Linked DNA regions of Struthio camelus. The protein of the gene in region 1 interacts with the protein of each later gene in a biochemical or structural test. Links are inferred from orthologs where the notes say so. Each region holds a gene or a part of one and is shown in the gene's direction. Other genes may lie near its edges.

Evidence for each region. The genes of interacting proteins can lie anywhere in the genome.
Region 2: the proteins of KBTBD8 (region 1) and TCOF1 form a complex in vitro, tested with the Homo sapiens proteins (2 studies listed by BioGRID, with this or other methods). The link is inferred for Struthio camelus from reciprocal best matches to the Homo sapiens genes KBTBD8 and TCOF1.

What each region holds. Positions count from the first base shown.
Region 1 is NC_090955.1:13,898,591-13,908,760, forward strand, and holds the start of KBTBD8 (kelch repeat and BTB domain-containing protein 8), read left to right. Parts: upstream 1-6,187; 5' UTR 6,188-6,372; coding exon 6,373-6,388; intron 6,389-9,444; coding exon 9,445-9,655; intron 9,656-10,170. UniProt on the Homo sapiens protein: Substrate-specific adapter of a BCR (BTB-CUL3-RBX1) E3 ubiquitin ligase complex that acts as a regulator of neural crest specification.
Region 2 is NC_090954.1:7,459,574-7,470,269, forward strand, and holds the start of TCOF1 (treacle protein), read left to right. Parts: upstream 1-6,743; 5' UTR 6,744-6,836; coding exon 6,837-6,947; intron 6,948-7,240; coding exon 7,241-7,296; intron 7,297-9,748; coding exon 9,749-9,891; intron 9,892-10,696.

The sequences.
Region 1 (10,170 bases):
AGCACATATAAAAATATTTGCACTACCCATTACCCTTTCAAGGATGTTAAGATTTTTCATGGTGTCGTTGCCTTCCCAGTTCAGTGACTGAGTCTAACACCAAACTATCTCATCTTTTTGTTGGAGAGTATTGATTTAAAAATAGCCATTAAAACTTAAATGTCTGAGGGATGTCTGATTTTTTTTATTTCTATTTTTTTTTTAAAGCAGCAGGCCTTCTAACTAATGAAAATAACTCCAGTGTATTAAGTTACCAAAGTCCTTCAGGCTAGCTGTTTGAAGGGGAGAGATGCATTTCTTCCTGTAGTGACGCAGGGGTTATCTCTTCCATATTCAAGTTCTTTTAAAAGCAAGATTTACTGAAGGGAGAGAAAGAAAGAGAACTAGAAAAGACAGCAGCTTTGAGTGAGGACTCCAAAGTGGCCCAGGGATATATGATGGCTTTGAGTGATTCAAGTTTACTGTTCTCTTCTCTACAAACAAAAAAATGTGGTTGCAACTGTGCCAGCTCCTCCACTTCAGGAGGAACACTGATCAGCTCTTAACCCACTCTGCTTGTTCCAAGCAGAAAGGGCAACTTAGTTTTTGCTTTCTCCTCTTTCTGACCATTTGTGCTCTCTGGGGTTCATCTGCACCTTTCCTGTGGTTAAATCATGTTCTGACTCATGGTCAGATGAGTTTATGTTCCTATAGCCCTGAATTAGTGCATTGAACATCCAGCTCTTGATTGTCATCGAGTTGGCCAGGCCATCAGTGCCCTATTTCCCTGAAGGTCCATGTGGTTCTTTCCATGCAAGCTGGAGGGCTTTAGCAAAGGCAGGCACAAAAATGAATGGAGGAGAAAAGGGACAAGAAGTAGTTATCCCTCCTCTCTGTCGTCACTTCTTCCACCATTGCAATAGCCTCTTGGACCTGGGCCTCCTACAAGCAGAGAGGGGGTGGCCAGAAAGGATTGGAGATGAGATAAAATTACTGGCTGAAATTTGGTTCTGTTAATACCTAAGGCAAGAACAGTGATGCTTCTTCTTCCTTTTGTTTTTTGTTTTGTTTTTTGTTTTTATTTATTCTTCTTCCTGCATATTTCTCCTTTCTGTGTGGTTTGTTTTAGGAGTGGCTGAGAAGCCTGGGTGATACAGGTCATGTCCGCTGGCAAGAGGGTTTTCAAAGTGCCCAGGTTTGAGGTGCAGTGTTTGTTCCAAATAGCTGGTCACTTTCAATTGATGCTTTTCATCACATCTTTTAGGAATAAGAAATGAAACATGCATAGATGTGCTTTTCAGTGTATCCTGACAGAAATACTTTATCTGCAAGGATGCTAGAGTTAATTCAGTCTCAGTGAATGCTCTGGTACTGCCACACTTTGTCAGCTGGGGCTTTGATGCAAGCCTCTCTATAACACAGCCATGAGAAGCATAAGGGTCCTGGCACGTTAAGGAGAGAGTGGCATAAAAATGCGATTAAATACTCAACAAATTGGAACAGGGATGAGATTCTGAGTCCACTGTACCCCAAAAAGGGCTATTTCCTTTGAGATCACTGGTGGGTTATATCTGCTGAAAAACGAGATTTCAGTGGGACCAGGCTCACTGAATCTCCTTCTGTCCCCTGGGTAGAACAGATCCATCGGAGTATAGATTTCCCATCTATACATGAGTACCCAAGCCTGCTCTGCCAGGCTGCTAGTAATTGCAGACTGGTCTTGCAAAACTTTGTGGTGACAGTGGATGAATGGGTGTTTTGTTCTAAAGTGACTGCTCCAGAATATATCACTGTCACTTCACCTAAACACCACCAGTCACTCTGATTTTCAGTAGCTGCTGGGACTTGCTGAAAACAGTAGGGCCTGTCATTCTGAGATTAAGGAGGGATTAGCTGTGTGATTTCAGCCAGCCTTAAAAGAAAGGTTAAACACTTTGGGAGGAGGAAGTGTGCATGTGTGTGCGTGCATGTGCGCATGTGTTCCAAAACAACAGATGGTTTCAATAAAGTTGCTCCCGCTGCTAGGAAGTGGCACTTCTTGACATTAGCAGAGCCATATCTCATCAGGGTTCTTGTTTCTACCAGCCTGTCTCAGCAAGGCCAAATCCACTGTACAGTATGGGGTAATCAGAAAAGGCACTCCAATATCTGCCCCATTAATTGCCCCCTGCCAGTCCTTGCTCTCCTCTGATGTAGCGCCCACTGTGCTCAGTGTGCTAAGATCAATTGGCTTTGAAGGGCAACTTCCTCTAATGATCTGCAATTCCCCCTACTTAAACTGCAACAAGAAGTGTCTTTTTAAAGATTCTATAAGAAATGTGTTATTTCTTGGAACCACTAAATAAAAAACTCTACTTCAATCAATGTATCGATTTATTAAATAATTGTGCAACTAAATTAATGTGCCCCTTGGTGACGGAATTGCAGAAAATGAGCAGTTTTATGCATTAAAGACAAACTGGTAAAAGATTGTTTTCCAAGGTTATATCGTTCCACAGTGAATATGAAAATTTTTCCAATTAAAATATGAGGGTTTTTCAGAGTGCGGTAGTATCAATTGTATTACTTCTCACAGATGCACAGTATGACTTGATTTAACACATACAAATAACAGAACAATTGTCAACGTTACTAATTGATACATCTTTGGAGATAGCAAATAATATTATTCATTTTACCAGTATTATATTTAAATTTTAGAGTTAAATAATTTTGCTGGAAATTGGCTATTTTTTTAATTGGATAGTTTCATGAAAAAAGTAACGGTTCAAAATGTTGCCATGAAAACCTAAAAAGCCCTTTGAAGCTTCTCCACATCTTTTTTCTTTTTTTTCTTTTTTTTTCTTTTTTTCTTTTTTTTTTTTGACTATGTGGTATGTGGGTGGAGGAGTGTGGGAAGATGGCGGAGTAGAGATTGATTCTTCCTCTCTCTATGCCCTCCATTTTTCAGTGAAAAAAAATCATACAGGGGAGGAGCAAGAAAAAAGTACAAGGAGGAAGCAATGACCTCTTCCTGAAATTTTGGACTAAGCATTTTATACAAAATAAAGATGGAAATATTCCTTTGGCTTAAAAACTGTTCCATTTTAAAGCTGTTTGACTGAAACCCTATTCATACTTTTCTTTAAATTTTGGTCCAGTGGTATTTATTATCTGCATTTTGCTCACAGGAAAAAAAACATCAGCAGGATCCCCAGAAGTGCTCTGGGCATTATCTCTTGTCCAGCAGGGGATAGTTTGGCCAGTTTCTCATCAGACGATCCAAGCTAAGAATTTGCCAAAGATCTACTGTGTTCCCGGTCCCTGTATTGAAGGTAGATGAAGCAAAACTTCCTAAATAATGTGTTCCGTATGTGTAACAAAGAATGGAAACATTTTCAATAACTGAATTGTATCTGCAAAAAAACTTTTTGATGGTATCCTCTAAGTTCTCAAATATCTGCAGAAAAGTATATTTTACTCATTTTCTCCTAAAACTTTTTCCTTCCCTCTCTTCTTGCTTGGTTTCTTGACAAAGACATTCTTCATTCTGAAGGCAAGGATCCCAGTAAAATTAGTGCCAGTTCTGAGTTCCTCAAGAGAGCAATGTTTGTGATCACTCATAAGACTCTGAATTCCTTCTCATTCGACATTTCATCTTTATTTCTGAGTCTCTGAATATCAAATGGGAAACAATACTTTCTCTACCAAGTGTTCTCAGCTGTGTGTTTACAAGCTGTATGTGCAGGAATGATGAAATAGGTGTGAAATTAAAGCCTTCATTAGAGCATTCCAGTCCCTCAATACCCAGGAAATGTCCTCGGTTTTGGATTCTTGCAAAATCTCAAATGGTATAATCAGTTGCAATGGACTGCTGGCCAGAAAAATAATAATAAAAAAAAAACTTACCTGAAATTATAATATTGATAAGGGAATTTACATCAATATATCTCAAAGGAATTCACAGCTCCTCATTGTCTTCTGGGAAGCCAAAACCCATGAAATCAAATGATTTGATCAACAGCATGCAGTAAATCAGTGTTAACACTAAGTCAATAACCCAGTTTTCTGACTCCTAGTTCTGTGCTCAAATCCTGGGCCTGTATTAATTCCCAGGCAAAACACAGACAAAGAGAGAAAGAAAGGCATGCAGCAGAAAAAAAGGGAGCTGGAACTCACTAAGCATCTTGTAATTTCTGAAAGTTTTGGTCCTAATGTTTGTATGCAATGCAATTGCAATTTATAATATCTAGCTTTTACATACTAAGTGACATAATTTGCTCAGGCAACATGCTTCTCATTTTACAGCTGAGAGACCGAGCAAATCATATGCAGACCTGGATGAAGAACCCTGGCCCCTGGATTTCCATGGGAGTGTTATATTGCGCTAAATCTTTTTAGTGCTAAGGAGTGCTAATGAGGGTTTCCAGAAAGAGGACTGAGTGATGAGGTATTAGGCACTTGAGAAAGACTTCTAACTAAGAAAAAGAGCTGCTATCAATACCTCTTACAGAATATTTGAACCTGTATAGCAATTTATTGCTTTGCCAAAAACCTTACAAAGGTAAGCTATTGCAAGAAATACTTTTCACTCTGAAGTACTGGCTCAGTGTGGTATCTATATTAAAAAACATTCTCCGTTTCACTCCTGCATTTCGCACACTAATCCAGCCCAGCCTAAGTGTCCACACCGAAGGAAATGAATTGCATCAGGCAATGTCATTTGCTAAAAGGTAAGAGTGGAGGTATTCTCCTTTCCTTTCGTTTTATATTTCTGGGGTCAATTTCACAACCCAGGCCAGTGCTGAATGGGGAAATTGGAAAACTGCAGAATCGATTTGCAGACGTGAAGTTCTATTTTCTTTTACACTTCTTTCATCACAGTCTCTATCATTCTCATGTTGTGTAGTATTATTATCGACAGCAGCCTGGACACCACTGATAATTGCTAAACTAGGGAAAAGCTATTCCTTGCAAGCGAAAGCAAAACCACAGAAGAGGCAGTCACGGAGCAGTACTAGTCTTGCTTTTAAATTCTTCTTATTTAGACTGTTGGTAATGTACCTATGGTATGTTATTTCTGAGAGTTAAAGGGAAATGTGTCTTTAAGATCTTATTTAAATGAATTTTCATTCACTTGCTTTATTGATTTTTACAAAACAAACTTCTCAGCCAACTATTCAGCTGCAAAGCTGAATCTATTAAAATAATCTATTTTAATAAAAACAGAAAAATCCACAGGCCTTCTGAATGCTTCTAGTATTTGGTAATTCTTCTTTCATTAAATGCATTTCACAAAGGAAAAAAAAAACCCACAGCAAATTTCTGGTAATGACTTAGTTATCAAGAATGAAACCAGTGGCTCGTCACTGCAGATAACCAAAAAAGCTGGCAACTATCAGCCACTCGATCTCTGGGACAGAGAGAGAAATGTACTTTGTAATATTAAAGGTCATTGGCAGCAAAATGGTTGCTAGAGGCATTTAGCTGCCTCTGTAGGTAGCACTGGCATTGCTAATCTGGCTGGCAGCAGCGTGCCGGGCGTTTGGGGGGGGGCGTACAAATACAGAACAAAATGACCACTCCTGGCATGCTGAGCTTGCAGCCTGAGTAGCTGGTTATATGTTTTGAGGAAAGAGCAGTTCGGCCCAAGCAAGTCCTGGATCTATCAGCCAAACGCCTCTGTGCCCTGACCGCGCCCTCGCTGTGTCAGAAGGCCTGCAAGTATTTTCTCTGTTTCGCTTCTCTCTGCTGGTTTTCGAGCGTGGGCCGTGGTGGCCGCTGTCCCCAGCCCACCCGGTGGGCGCCGCTGGGGCGACACCTCCGCCCTTGCTGGGCCTGGGAGCTTGTGCTGCAGGAGGCACTGCAAGGCCTGTAAAACTGATGAGGTAGGAATGAGAGGGGGGGGATTTATGTCCATGGAGGGGCCATTTCTGCTGGGTGCCCCCGGAGAGGGGAACACTCTGAGGGCAGCGGTGGCCAACAGCAGGGGTATGGAAAGGCGCCGCGGATCGCTCTCATGCCCCTGGCTGAGGGTGGAGGCCGCAGGGCCCCAAAATGGCCGCTCTGCCGAGCGACTCCCCCTCCCCTGCGCCAACCCCGCCGTTGCTAAGCGACGGGCAGAGCCTGCCCCCCCCCGCAGCCCCTCTTGGAAACTACAACTCCCAGGCACCCCGCCCCTCCGCGAGACTACAGCTCCCAGCATGCCCCAGCATGCGCCGGCACTACATTTCCCGGCAGGCCGCGGGGGCGGCGGCCAGTCAGCGCGCCCCAGGCTGGGCAGTGCGAGGAGCGGGGTTGGCTTCCGCGGTAGTAAGCGGGCCGCGGGGAGGAAGCGGGGCAGGGGAAGCAGCCCCGGTGACATTTCCTTTCGGGTTGCCCCCCTCTCCCGCTGCCGGAGCTGGGGCCCCGAGAATGGCAGCGTTAGGAGGTCGGTGCGCCTGGGCCGCCTAGGCGGAGCGGGTGGGTGGGGGAGGGGCGGCCGTGCTGAGGGGGGTGAGGAGCGGCCTGTGGGGGAGGGGCGGCTGTGAGGTAGGGTCTCTCCTGAAGGGTGCCTGTGGGGGGCGATGGGGAGGGTGCTGGGGGCCTCTATGCTGAGGGGCGTCTGTGGGGGGTACATTGGGAGGGTTCTGGGGGCCTCTGTGCTGAGGGGCGTCTGTGGGGGGTACGTGGGGAGGGTGCTGTGGGGCCTCTGTGCTGAAGGGCGTCTGTGGGGGGTACGTGGGGAGGGTGCTGGGGGGCCTCTGTGCTGAGGGGCGTCTGTGGGGGGTACGTGGGGAGGGTGCTGGGGGGCCTCTGTGCTGAGGGGCGTCTGTGGGGGGTACGTGGGGAGGGTGCTGTGGGGCCTCTGTGCTGAGGGGCGTCTGTGGGGGGTACGTGGGGAGGGTGCTGGGGGCCTCTGTGCTGAGGGGCGTCTGGGGAGGGTGCTGGGGGCCTCTGTGCTGAGGGGCATCTGTGGGGGGTATGTGGGGAGGGTGCTGGGGGCCTCTGTGCTGAGGGGCGTCTGGGGAGGGTGCTGTGGGGCCTCTGTGCTGAGGGGCGTCTGTGGGGGGTATGTGGGGAGGGTGCTGGGGGCCTCTGTGCTGAGGGGCGTCTGGGGAGGGTGCTGGGGGCCTCTGTGCTGAGGGGCGTCTGTGGGGGGTACGTGGGGAGGGTGCTGGGGGGCCTCTATGCTGAGGGGCGTCTGTGGGGGGTACATGGGGAGGGTGCTGGGGGCCTCTGTGCTGAGGGGTGTTGGGGGTGATAAGGAGGATGCTGGGGACTTCTGTGCTGAGGGGTGTCTGTAGGGGCGCATGGGGAGGATGCTGGGGGGTTTTGTACTGAGAGGTTTTGGCAGGTGAGTGCCCCACTGGGGGAGTGTCTGGGGGTGTGTGTGAGGGAGGGGTGCTGGGGGGCATCCTAGGTGTTCCTGTGGGGCAGGGGTGCTTGGGTGAGGCACCTGCAGTGGGTGGTGTCAGTGCTGGATGGGGAAGATTATACCTAGGAGGGTTGTTTGGGAGGTGTCTATGGGGTCTAGGGTTGGGGACAGGAAGTAGGAGGAAGCCTGGGTGAAGAGGGCCTGTTTACAGGCAGAGAGCAGTCTAGGGAGGTACCCTGTGCAGGGAGGTGTGCATGGTCATTTGCTTGTGGTGGGGAGTTTGTGGAAGGAAGGTTGTCTTTCGGGGATACCTTCACACTGTGTACGTTTGAGGGGAGCTGAGCAGAGAAGGAGGGCTGGGTACCCTTTGATGAAAGACTTCTGTGAGATTGGATTTGTGGAGAGTAGAGGAAGAAGGGAGGAGTTTTTGAGAGGTGAAAGTGGGCAGTATTTTGGGGGAGGAGATATCTAGGAGGAGCAGAGCAAAAGTTTCGGGGTGCAAATGGTGAGGAATATTAATAGATGAAGAAGATGCCCATGGCAGGGAGAAAAGAAAGGTGATGAGAGTGACTGGGAAGGTTTCACAGCATGAAAAACTGTAAGATGGGTAATGCCATGGATTGGGCAGAAATACTGGGACATGAGAATGAGTATCAATTCTTGGCCATTTCCACCAGTGCTGGAAACTGCCTTGATTGCATGTGCTGGACGAGTAACTGGCAAGGTTGGAGAAGAACTATTCTGAAGCTTCTCAATGGTAGAAAGGAAATGAAACTCTCATGCAGTACTGGATACATAAGAGTTTTCTTACGTGTCAGAACTTTGCTATGAAGTGTTGGAATTGATCTAGCAAAGTATTATTTGCTTGGAATTTACTCAGTAGTGATTAACATTGTTTCTGAAAATGTGCAAGTGCAGTTCTCCCCTTCCCTTATGACTTGCTTGTTTTGAATGTTGCAGCTCTGTTATTGTAATAAAGAAAAGTAAGATCTCTGAAAGGAGAGCTTAAAGTATGGCATTTACTGTTTTATTTGGGGAAGGGTGTTTTCAAGACTTTTCCTAACAGTAGTTTGAAGAGATATTGACAGTATTTGGCCCCACGCCTGCTATAAGAAATGTGTGCCCGTTGGCAGATCCATACTGATTTAATTGGGACTGTCTCAAAGTTGTGTCTGCGTTCTGATTAAGAGAAATTGTAGCTGCTGAATACCACCATGGGATAGGATTTAAACCTTCTGTTCATCATTCTTGCTGTTCACTGTCCTTTCTTCCCCTTTGTGTAGCCCTAAATGTGTTGGAGGTGTTCTCGGTTGCAGTCAGCAGCATTACCTGATTTGCAACTCTTACTAACTAATGTTTTTCTTTTGAGCTCTCCTTTGTTGTTGTTGCGCAAAAATCTTGTTACTATTATGAAATAGATTTTTGCGCTTGAGATATTGCTCAATTTTCGCTTTGGGATTTACTTCATTAAGCATATTATGTGTTATTTAGAAGCATATGCTTCACTTAACTTGTTTTTACAACGATGTGACTTCCTTCACACCTGAGTAATTTTAAATTGTAATAGTATTTTATTTGTGAAGAAAAACATGTAATCATGTATACAAATTTATGTGACTTTATCTAATAGATTTGCTGCTCTACATACAAAGGCTGTTTCTTTATGACTGTACTATTTCCAATCATTTGTGCAAGTTAGTAACCAGTTCCTGTTTCAGTGTAAAGTTAAGTACATACATGCAGACATGCCTAATGGCAATCTAGGTTGAGGGTTTATTTTATTCTTCTACGTGCTTTATTCTTCCCATTTTACAAGGCAATAAGCATTGTGATACTTGGTGGTTTGTTTTTTTTTAAGTGATATAAGTAAATATTTTGTATTTATTACAAATGTTCTTTCTTAAAATTAATAGTTATAATTTCATAGATTAATTTACATAATAGATTGGAAAAGGGGAAAAATTGAAATATCTTTGTCTTTAGTCATCACTGAAAGTTTTAGACGTGCTGTTAATGGATGATGGCACAGAAGAAGTCAGGAATATTAGCCTATGCTAATTATTCTTAGTGCATGCCCTCTTTCTGTCTGTGTGTGTATACAGTAAAACTGTTTCTATTTTACTTTATAGAGCCAAGTAAGTTTTCACAAACACTGAATGGAATTCCTTCTTCAAACACAGTCAGCAGCGGAATGGACCCCTTCCATGCTTGCAGTATTCTTCAACAGCTTAAAACCATGTATGATGAAGGACAGCTGACAGATATCGTAGTGGAAGTGGATCATGGGAAAACATTCTCCTGTCATAGGAATGTTCTTGCTGCAATCAGTCCTTATTTCAGGTATAATGAATATATGGTCCAGTGTTCTAGTGGAAAGTGAAATTATAGCTCATTATTTTCCATATGTGATATTGAAAAAAAAGAAAAAACCACACACACATCTTTAACAATATTCCTTGTAACTGTCAATGACCGTATAGTGGGCTTAGTAAGTAAATATTTTTATTCTTTTAATGCCAATGAATTATCAGTATCTGTTTTTTTCAAAGGAGCATTTCTCTGGACAAAATCTCATGTACTTAAAAAATCCTCCAGTATTGAGGGACTCTTGCATACAGTAACAGCACAGTTCAAAGCACAGTTCAACTATTTGTTTCCTTTTAAAGTTATGTATTCTAGCATGCTAGAATACATACATAAGAAATAACATGTTGGACATTGCACTTAAAGACTTGTTAAGAACTTAAGAATTTTGCTTATAAGCTGAGTAATTTTTCATGTACAGTTAGTGAGATGCTTAAGTAAAGAATTCCAGTTTGACAATTTTTGTTTCAGGAAGTCTAGAACTGCTCTTA
Region 2 (10,696 bases), on another chromosome or scaffold:
TTTGTAAAACTGGAGGCAGAAAACTGCCTGAGCGAGGGTGAGCCGCAGCAGCAGGGCTGTGTACACAAAACAATGCCATGATTCATCTGAGATTGCCATAACCCATCGCATTTCATCAGGATGCTGTGGCATTTAAAATGGCATTTCCTCCCATCTGTTGTGCATTAGCAGACAAAGAAAAGGAGGAGGGGGGAGAGAACAGCCAAACAAAAGGGAAAGAAAAGGGATTCCTAAGTAAGACTGTTTCTAAAGCAATTCCTTTTAAAGTCCAAACCCAGTCCAGCAGACAAGGGAAGATGGCAGTGACGCTTTGCTGTGGCCAATTTTGCCTTCACCGCTCCCCAGGGCCTGCCTCCAGCCCGCGATGCGCTCCCCCAGGAACGTTACTGAGAGATGCAGATATCCTCCGTGACTCAAAGCCTCGCAGAACAGCACCTGGCAACCCTCTCTCCATACACCCAGAGCTGAGCAACACCAACCAAGGACTGTCAAATCACGGGCACGAGCAAACAAATTCCCCCAAGCTAACCACTGTTACGGCTTTATTTTTCCTTGGCTTTTCTCTGTTCCCTCTTCTTCTCCGTCTCTCCTCTGATCTTCCATTGCTTCCTCCCTTTCCTGCCTCATTTTCCCTTGGAAATGAGAACCTCTCCCTACATCCCTATGTCTCCCTGCACCACTGCCCTTTCCCTCACTGTGTCTAGCTTCTCCTCTATGTTCCCACCTCCTCTCCTCAGTGTGCCTGAGGCTTCACTGTCCTCCTCCCTTTATCTCCCTCTGTCTTTCTTGCCCACCCCCCTGCCCTGACCCATCCCCACCTCCTGTGCTACCCCGTCGGAGAGCATCCACAAGACCGAGACACCAGAATGGCCAAGGCAGCTGGTCCCATGGATCAGCCACCCTAGAGAGGCTATGTAAAACAACTCTTTCCTTTGTCAGCAACACACTTCATTTCATCTCAAGGACCCAGGAGCCGGTGGAAATTTGGGAACCGTTTTGCTCTCTGGGCCTCCTTGCAGGGAGCTTCCCAGCTCTGACCAGCTGAGCACGGTCAGGGTTGATTGGTCACCTCAGGCCAATCTGTGCCCAGACGGGGTGACGACTTGCTGCATGGGACCCTCTCCTCTGAGCCAGCCCACATGGCACTCCAGGGCACAGTCCAGGAGAGATGGATCAAAGCCCTCCTGACAGGGGCAGTCAGAGTGGGGGAATTCAGCTCAGCTTCCTTTCTGAACTGGGCCATGCAAATTCTCCTCCTAAGCACAGCCTATACTTTCAGCCGACTTCATGGCTGCAGGGACCAAGATTTCTGACTCCGCAGAGCGCTCACTTCAAATAGTGAACAGACATAACACGTGAAGCCTGTTCCTCAGGCAGCTGGGAGGAGGGGAAGCTCTGGGAACGATTCGCAGCGGGAGGGGCAACAGCTCCCCTCTGGCCCCGCTATGCGGATACGGGGCAGCAGTGACGGAGCATATCTCGGCTGACCCAGGCAGCTCTGCAGCTGGCAATGGGATTGACCCAGCCTTGGAGCAACGAGAAAGGTCGTTAATCCCTAACAGGACAAAATCCCAACGTGTCAGCAGGATAACCCTGCTGGATCTTGCCTTGAGGTAACATACAGGTCAGATTCATAAACCAGGCCAGGGCTCTGATCACGAGACTCACCAGAGTACCTGCAGCATGGAACAAGGTCCCTGTCCCAGGCCACCCATTCCACTTCCTGGCTGGAGGATCCTGCCCCAGAGCAGGGGCAGGACGAGCGGCTTGTCCGCAGCTCATATTTTGGCTGAAATCAGCAGCGATGAAACGGATCAGGTGAGGAGCTGCACCAGCTGAGAAGGCGGCAAAGTACCTTTTCTGTTGTCTCTGCTCCACCACTGTGGTGCAACCACAAGCAGCTGGAGTCAGAAACTCCTTCAGGCACGCAGCCTGGGATCCCTCGGTATCAAGACCCCATACGCACTGCATACCCAGCATGTCTAAAGATCACTAAGGATCACCCCAGCATCTCCAAGGATAAAATCATGACGCCCAGTTCGTAATTGTGCAACCTCCAAAAGACAGAACCAACCCCATATTGTCAAACTGCACCTCACTTAGGGTCACCAAACAAGTAGGTCTGACCAGTTCACACAATGATGACGTGCCCCTCCCTGCTACAACGCACTAAGGCCAGAGACTTATACATGGACAAACACACGCAACTGATGATTGCAGCTTAAACAAGGGAGAGCAGAAAGATGTCCCTGCAAGCCCAAGGGTCCAACAGGCATGCCTAGAGACTGTCAGCTTCCATACGGCACAAAGGAGGAATGACAGCATTTTCCAGCCAGCTAATGTGCTCTCTGAACTCTGGTTTGGCCTGGACACAGGCAGTCTTTCAGAATGGAATAGGTGTGGACAAGTTCAACCCCAAGCAATAACCAAATAACATGTGAAAGTGGCAGCAAGCAAAGCTCTCAGCTTGTAAGGCTGAGGGCATGGACAGGGCGGTGCGCTTATTAGCGGACTGAGCTGAGCTGGCTACTAAATTACAGCCATTTTATCCCCTGTCTGGATTTGAAACAGCTTCCTGCAATCTCTTTGTGACTCAGTGTCTTGGCATGGAAAATGCATACCCGAGAGGTTAGCTTTTGAAATCCACCAGGGACATTTCACCTTCCTAAAATAAAGAGTGGGCAAAATATTTTCAACCTCCTTCCAAAAAACGCACAGAAAAATCACTCCTTAATAACTGTACGTTGTTGGGTCTCAGCTGGCTTTGGGCTGGGGTAGATTTTCCTATTTATAATCATGCAGCTGTTTGCTGACTGAATAGCTCTATTTATTATTTGCCATGTTTACTAAACGCCTGAAATACCTTCTCTACCTGTAATTGTGGTGCAGCATATATTTTTTTTCGGATTCATTCATTCAAGTGGGTTGTGTTACTACCAGGCCCTGATCTGCGGCTTGCTAAGGGCCGTTCATGGTTTGAGGGTATGAAGCTTTGGACTCAAGTGACCCTGAACTGCAGCAGACCTGTAAAGAGCCACTTGGAAAAAAATGGAGGCATTTTTAAAGCCATTTGTGCATGGGCACTCAGGGCTTTAACGTACTCTGTCTGCCTTCCTAGAGAGCAATCCCTCCTGAACGCGTTTGCTCCCCGTTTATGTTCAACTCTGTCTTCTTCCCATCCATGTGCTACCCAAATTGCTCAAAGCCTTATCTTTCATGCTCGCTAGCATACGTGAGTCCTGAACCTCAGGAGAGGAGAAGCCTCAAAATTCACTCAACAGAGTCTTGTTGGACTCTGGGAAGTCTGACACGAGGAGAAACTTACGCAACAAACTCCCCCGAGCATGCTGAAAAGCATCATTCCTTTGGTGCGAAGAGAAAACAGAGGGCTCTGGAAAATCTGGCCCTGCTGAACACCTTCAACTTACCTCCAAAACAGGCCCTGAGCCCTGACAAAACGCCCTGCAGACCCTTGCTGGGCCTCCCTTGTCATCCCTCTGTCATGAGGTGATGGGTCTTTCCATAGCGCCCCACATCAGTGAGCCATCAGCATTTACTCCCTGAGACTCTACAGGCAGATGCGCCGCAGCGCGCAGGGGTGGCAGCAGACAAGGGTTGGTTTAGTTTGGGGACTTTTTTAAAAATTTTAAATAAACAAAACAAACAAAAAGGTTCCTGGAAGTATAAAGCCATTCCAGATGGCACCATGTCAAAGTAGGTCAAAATCTGTTCCACAGTATACCTGCAGCAGGCAGCGTCCTTTGTAAATCACAGGGGCTGAATCCCATCCCAAGCTCCTTCTCAGAGGCCCCCGACATCATCCTCTCCAAGCCACTGCCCCAGGCTGTCAGCTCTACGGGCTCAGTCCTGGCCTGTCCTGCTCAGTTCATTCGCCTGGAAACCTCCCCAGGAAACACACTTCAGTGCTTTGCTGTCCTGAGGTGCTTTTCTTACCTGCGTCTTCCACTCCGGTTAAGAGAATCAGGTCTCCACACCAGGCCTCGAGCTGATAGGGCCTTGTACCACTTTGCAAGGGACATTTCAAAGCAAAGGCAGTCTTGCTGGAACACCGTCTTGGTTCAGAGGCCTGTAGCTCTCACAGAGATGCCGCATCCACATTTACTCTGAGCATCAATAACCATTTGTGTAGGGGGAGGTCACCCTTAAAAATGACGAGCCAGGTCTGTCTTTCATTTACAGGAGCTGTAAAACTGCCACCTGGCCAGTGGCTTTACTGCTGTGGATGATGCTCGTGTCAAAGAAGTTTGGTGCAGGAGCCAGCTGGAGCACAGCCAGTTTTATATTTAATCTTGCCTATAAATACAAATAAAGGCTCTGTATTTTGAGTGAGTGACAGACACACCATGGACATTATTAAACCTTCCAAAAATAAACCTCTACCAAAGTGAAGGGAGCCAGATTTTTCCTGGAAAGTATCAGCATGGGGAGGGGGAGAGTGGTAACAGAGCAGCCCCTCTGCTGCGCGGCCTCTGCCCAACAGTTCTTTGTGCCATGGAGCCGTCTCATCTCTTCTTGTCGTTTGCCTGTTTTAGTCCAAAAATGCCCCGGCAGCTCCTCAGAACAGCTTAACGTCCATCCAACATTAAATCAGTCCTGAGTCTTCAGCCCCTGAGTCCTCCGGGAGCAAGGCCTCTGCCCTCAGGGCCCAGAAAGATTTAGTGGATGGTGCTGTAATAATCACCGCCCTGTCCACATCCCTTCCACCATCTGCCTGTCCTCTTCGTTGGAGGCGGCCGATCCGTATTTGGGGTAGTGGAATGGGTCACAAGTCCACTTCTGGGACACCACATTTCGCAGCTGCCGTGTTATCTAAAACCACCATCAATTTCAGCTAAGTGTTAACCCACTTCATGCAGAAACTTCACTCTGCCAGCCTTGGAGGGGTGCTAATCCCTGGCAATGAGCACAGCCAACAGCGGTATGCATGTGTGAGTGTCCCGCAGTATTTGGTGGCTTCTCTTCATCTCCTGCAGAGCTGTACAACGATGCAACAGTCCTAGCCCTTCTTTTCTCCCTTTTCTCCTTCCCCAGAACAGCACTTTCAGCATTCCTTGCTTCATGAAAAAGGTCCAAAATGCACCCCACTACACATCCTACAAAAGAGCCAAGCGGCAAATTCAAAGTGTCAATCTGTACTGCAAATATCTCATGAGCACTAAGCCAATTTCAAGATTTTCACGAGTCTGAGCTACACCACTGTGCACCTCAGGTTCGCAAGACTGCAGGAGAATGCTTAAAATTAAGGCTCTGTCCACTCCTCTTGGAAATAACTTCTGGGCACTGCTTAGAAGAGGGCGGATTGCTCTCATGAAGGTGTCAGGACTTCCACAGACACCACTTGCCTGTGTTTGAAGCAGCAGCGCCTGCTCCGTCTCCCAGACAAGGCTGTGTTCTCCACCTGGCCTGGTTCAGTTCTGGCTGGTCCCAAGGTGCAGCTTCCCTGGCCCAGTTCGATTCTGGGTTTGGTTCCCAGGCACGGCTCCTCCACATGACACAGCTGGGTCTGGCTCTTGGGTACAGTTTCTTTGGCGTTATTTGGTTCCCGATTCGGTTCCTGGGCACCTCCATCCAGCCCAGTTTGGTTCTAGGTTCTCTTCCCCCAACCCGGTTCAGGTCCCAGTTTGGCTCCCCTGCCCTGGCTGGTTCGATTCCTGGGTGCAGCTCTCCCTGCCCAGTTCAGTTTGGTTGCTGGGAGCATTTTCCCTAGCCTGATTCAGTTCCAGGTTTGTCCAGGTGGAGCTTCTCTGTACTGGTTCAGTTCCCTTAGGCTGGTCCAGTTCAGGTCTGGGTACCGCTCGCATTTCATGTCCCAGTTCAGCTCCCCTGCCCTGGTTTGGCTCTCGGCCCGGTGCGGTTCCCAACTCGGCTGCCCCAGCCCAGTTTGGTTTGGTTCCTGGTTCCACTCAGCGCTTGGGCCAGCCCACTGCAGCTCCTGGTGCGGCTCCCTGGCCCAGCCCGGCCCGGTTCAGCTCCCGGCCTGGCTGTCCTGTGGGCTCAGCTCCTGATTCGGCTCCCTTGGCCCAGTTCATGTTCCAGCTGGGCTCGGCTCCCCCAGCTTGGCTTATTATCCAATTCAGAGCCCCCGGCCCAGTTCGGTCCTTAGCTCAGTTCCCCTGGCCTAGGGCTCGGGGCCCTGTTCGGCTTCCCAGGACCAGTTCTGGGCCGAGTCTGGCCCCTCCCAGCCCAGTCCGGCTCCTAGGGCCCGGTTCGGGGCCTAGTTTGGCTCCCCAGGACCAGTTCAGGGCCGAGTTCGCCTCTGAGGGCCCGGTTCGGGGCCTGGTTCCACTCTCTCAGCCCGGTTTGGGGCCTGGTTTGGCTCCGAGGGCCCGGTTCCGCTCTCTCGGCCCAGTTTGGGGCCTGGTTTGGCTCCGAGGGCCCGGTTCCATTCCCTCGGCCCAGTTTGGGAACGGGTTCGGCTCCGAGGGCCCAGTTCCGTTCCCTCGGGCCGGTTTGGGGCCTGGTTCAGCTCCCCAGGACCACTTCTGGAGCGAGTTCGGCTCCTAGGGCCCGGTTCAGGGCGCGGTTCCGTTCCCCCGGCCCGGTTCGGGGTCCAGCTCGGCTCTCCAGGACCAGTTCCGGGCCGAGTTTGGCCCCTCCCAGCCCGGGTCGGCTCCTAGGGCCCGGTTCGGGGCGCGGCCCGGTTGCCGGTTCGGCTCACCGGTCCGTACCCAGCCGCGGCACCGCACTACATTTCCCAGAAGCGCCGCGGGCGCGGCGGAAGAGGAAGTGACGCAGGCGGGTCAGCGGGGGTCGCGCGGGCATGTGGCCGGCCCGGCAGCGCCCCGGGGGCTCGCCCTGAGCGGGCCGGGCGCGCTATGGCGGCGGGCGGCCGCGGGCAGCGGGAGCTGCTGGCCCTCATCCACCAGCACCTGCTGCGCGCCGGCTACGCCCGGGCGGCCCGCGAGCTGCAGGCGCAGCTGGGCCAGGTAACGGCGGCGGCGGGGCCTGGCGGCGGGGCCTGGGCAGGGCAGGGCAGGCCGCGGCGGCGGCGGCCTTACGTACACGTGCCCTATATGTGCCGTTATATATGTGCTTCTGGGGCCGTATGTGCGCGGCAGCGAGGGGAGGAGGCGGCGGCCCGCGGCGGGGTAGGCCTCCGGGAGAGGAGGGCTCGCTGGGGGAGCGCCTGCACGCGGGGAGGAGGTGTCCCCTCTGCCCTCCCCGCTCGCCGCGTTCCCCGGCGGCTGCCGACTGAGCTGCGCTCTCTCTGCTTCCACAGAAACTGCTTCCTTCCCTGTCGACCTCTCTGGAGGAGATCTTTACCCACTGGCAAAAGTAAGTCTGAGGAGGAGATTGCTGAGGAACGCATTCCAGACCGCGTTAGCAACCAAGCCGTGTTACGCTTGTGGCCTCTATTTGTTGGAACTTCCTTTTGTCAGGGTGTTTCCCACAGTAAGCATGCTCCGGGAACTTTCCTGCTAGGCCCTGCTTTCAGATAGATTTCTTTGAGATGTTAAAAATTAAGTTAAAATTTCTTCAGCTTGGGGATGAGTTGTTGCTCTGTTTTTGAGAAACTGATGCTGTTCTTGCCTGTTGGGGGTGATACTGGAGTATTACAGGGGTTAGAACCATGCTCTACTGGCAAAAAGTCTCTTTTTCGGTTTCATTTCACTTTCTTTTTTAAAGCCATGTGCTTTTCAGGGATGTGGACGCTGGCCAGTGTGGGCTGAACACGTGAACTGCCTATGAGCAGAGGCTGCTGAATCAGAACTGTCAAAGCTGTTACAGGGAAGTTACATCTTGGCATAGGTCACATAATTTATGATTTAAAGGAAGGCACTTTAGGTTTCAGCCTGCCTTTGCACGTGCTTACGTGTTTAGTCCCGATGGCTTCACACTTAGTTATTCAGCTGAATACCCCCCACCATGAATGTCTGCAGCCTGAGGCTTTCACATCTGCAGCATGGGATGATATTTGCACCCGTTCTCTGTGCTGCTTGCTTTATTTTGATGCAGAAGTGCATTGCTGCAGAGATGGGCATGGTTGAAGCCACAGAGCCAGGTTAACGGGGGATCAGTGTAGCTGTTTTTCTGTGCCTGTGGAGTCTGGCCAGCGCTGCAGAGCACCTGAGTGAAGATACTCTTCAGTCTGGCTGTGCTAGCAGCCTTGGAGGGTGGGTGTTTGCTCCAGAAGTACTTTTTGCTAAAATGCCTTGGGCTGCGGGCACCCTGCTCTTGCGTCTCCACGGTTTTCTTAACTGAGCAGGAGAGATGCTGTGGGACCAGCTGGAGATATAAGAGTGTGGAATTGGGTTTGCGGTTCTTCCCCATAACAATGTGTTGCTGTCTTGGGTATTGATGCTGACTGTTCTGTGTGCCAGATATCCTGGGCTCTGCTGCTCACCCTTCCAGACACTTTTACTTTTAAACCGTGGAGGGCAACAGGAACTCGCATCACGTTTAACTCCTCTTTCTCTGGTGTCGCCCTTATGTTGTAGTTCTTCCTGACAGGTCTGCCTCTTATTCCTTGTCTCCCCTTGTTGTTATGTCTGGGCTGGAGTCAAAATGGGGGACGTATTGACCAGTTGTTTGGTTTATCCAGGAGGTGCCCTGCTTAGCTGAAGAGGTCTCGTGCGAGTGAGCTGTGATTCTCACGTCTTGTTTCACTTCACAGGCTTTTGGCCTCAAAATGCCTTTCCCCAGATTCTGTGCTGCAGCTCTTCTCTGTCTGCCTGAGGTCATCCTTGATGCTCTCCTTAAACTCTTTCAGAGTGAATTTAACAGTTGAGATTTGCGGTTATTTAAGAATGGCCTCCTTCTCCTATGTAAGAATGGGCTATGTTTAGTCCTGGAGTTCACTGGAAAGACAGGTAGAGCTGCCTGATGCTTGGGTGAGGTGGCGAAGCTGGACTGGCTCAGCCCCAGAAGCAGTGGGAGCAGTTAGACAGAGTAATGCTGCAGTTAATTGCTCTGGGCTGCTGTAGGGCCAGTGCTTGAGGGCAGGCGATGCTGTACTCTCGTGCAGTGCATCCCTGAGCCCTGGTCAAATGCAGTGTGAATTCCCACAATAGTCTCTATATCATCAGCTGCCACCGAATTAGGAAGGCGTTGGAATATAGTAGCTGCTTGCATGGCTTGCCCTATGTTTTGTTGAAATTATTATTGGAATAGTTGCAGGCCTGCCTGCAAAAGAGTTGCTGATACAGCTATGCCAGTGAAACCCTCCTCCTCTGCACCCTGACTTTTATCTCCTTTTGGCTGAAGTGTCCAAATACAAATGGCTTGTGAAGCCTTTACTTTCAGTTGCCGTGGCCTCACAGAGTACCAGAACCTGTCTGGGGTTCTCTGCTCTAACCCTGGGGTAGCATCGGTTAATTGCTCTTTCTGGCTATAGCTGTCTCGTGGAGACTGAATTTGTTCTACAGGTTGCCTTTGCTGTGGTGAGCGTCAGCCTGGCTAAATATGTTTTTGCTTCTCTGCTAATGTGAGAAAGATGCTTTCTTTCCTTGTCCTAGGTAAAATTTGTATCCAGTAACTCCTCCAAGTGTTGAAAGGATATATTGCTCTTAGGAGTTGCCTGAGGAGGACAGAGCTGTATCTTGCAGGTTACCTATGGAGCTCTCCCCTCCCCTCAGGAGTCGAGGAGGAGGAATGACAGTGCTTGTCCTGAGGCTTGTGTCAGACCTGAGAGTGGCTGAATTAATGAGTGTTCAGATTTGTTCTTTTTTCAGGAGCTGTTCCCCTTTTTGACGCCTCCTCTCTACTCTTATCAAATCTGTTTCCTCAGAACTCCCTCCAATTCCAGGAGAAGGAAGGTGAGTGATGTGGAGGCAGTCATCCCAGAAAAGATCAGAGTTCCTGATCCTGTGAGCAGCTCTGAGAGCTCAGAGAAAGAAGAGGATGAGAAAGAGAAGACAAAAGCTGTCAAGGGTAGGAGCCTTTTATCTTCCCATGTTTTTACTGAGTAGGACTGTGTAAGAGCAGCCCAGTTTTACTGGCCAGAGAAAATGCTTGTAAAGTGATGGCTATTTCCTGATGCTTCTAGGAAAATCACAGAATCGTTTAGGTTGGGAGGGACCTCTGGAGATCATCTAGTCCAACCTCCCTGCTCAAGCAGGGTCACCTAGAGCATATTGACCAGGATCACATCCAGGCGGGTTTTGAATATCTCCAGGGAAGGAGACTCCACTACCTCTCTGGGCAACCTGTTCCAATGCTCTGTCACCCTCACAGGGAAGAAGTTTTTTTCTCAGGTTCAGATGGAACTTCCTGTGGTTCAGTTTCTGCCCGTTGCCTCTTGTCCTGTTGCTGGGCACCACGGAGAAGAGGCTGGCCTCATCCTCTTGACATCCTCCCTTCAGATACTTGGACACGTTTATGAAAATGGGACAACTAATTGAGCACCTCTGTCTCTGTAGAGTTTCTGAGGAGCAGAGATGCCTGCTAAAGCTAGCAAAAGCCTGTGGAATTGGATCCTGGTGTTAGGAGCTAGGTTTAGTTTGCTCCTGTGGAAAGTAAGTCAAAGATATAGGGAGAAAGCATATCTCTTTGTCTTCACTCCTGCTCTCTTGCTCTTCCTCTCCTATAGATTTTTCCTTTCTTCCTCTCACAGAGTCTGCTTGATTGGTGTGCACGAGCATAGCTCCTTGGAGAAGTGTCCCCTTCTGATATGAATGTAGCTGCCCCAGTCACTGCCCTGTAGCTGTACGTGTTTGTGTCCCCATTGACCCGTATC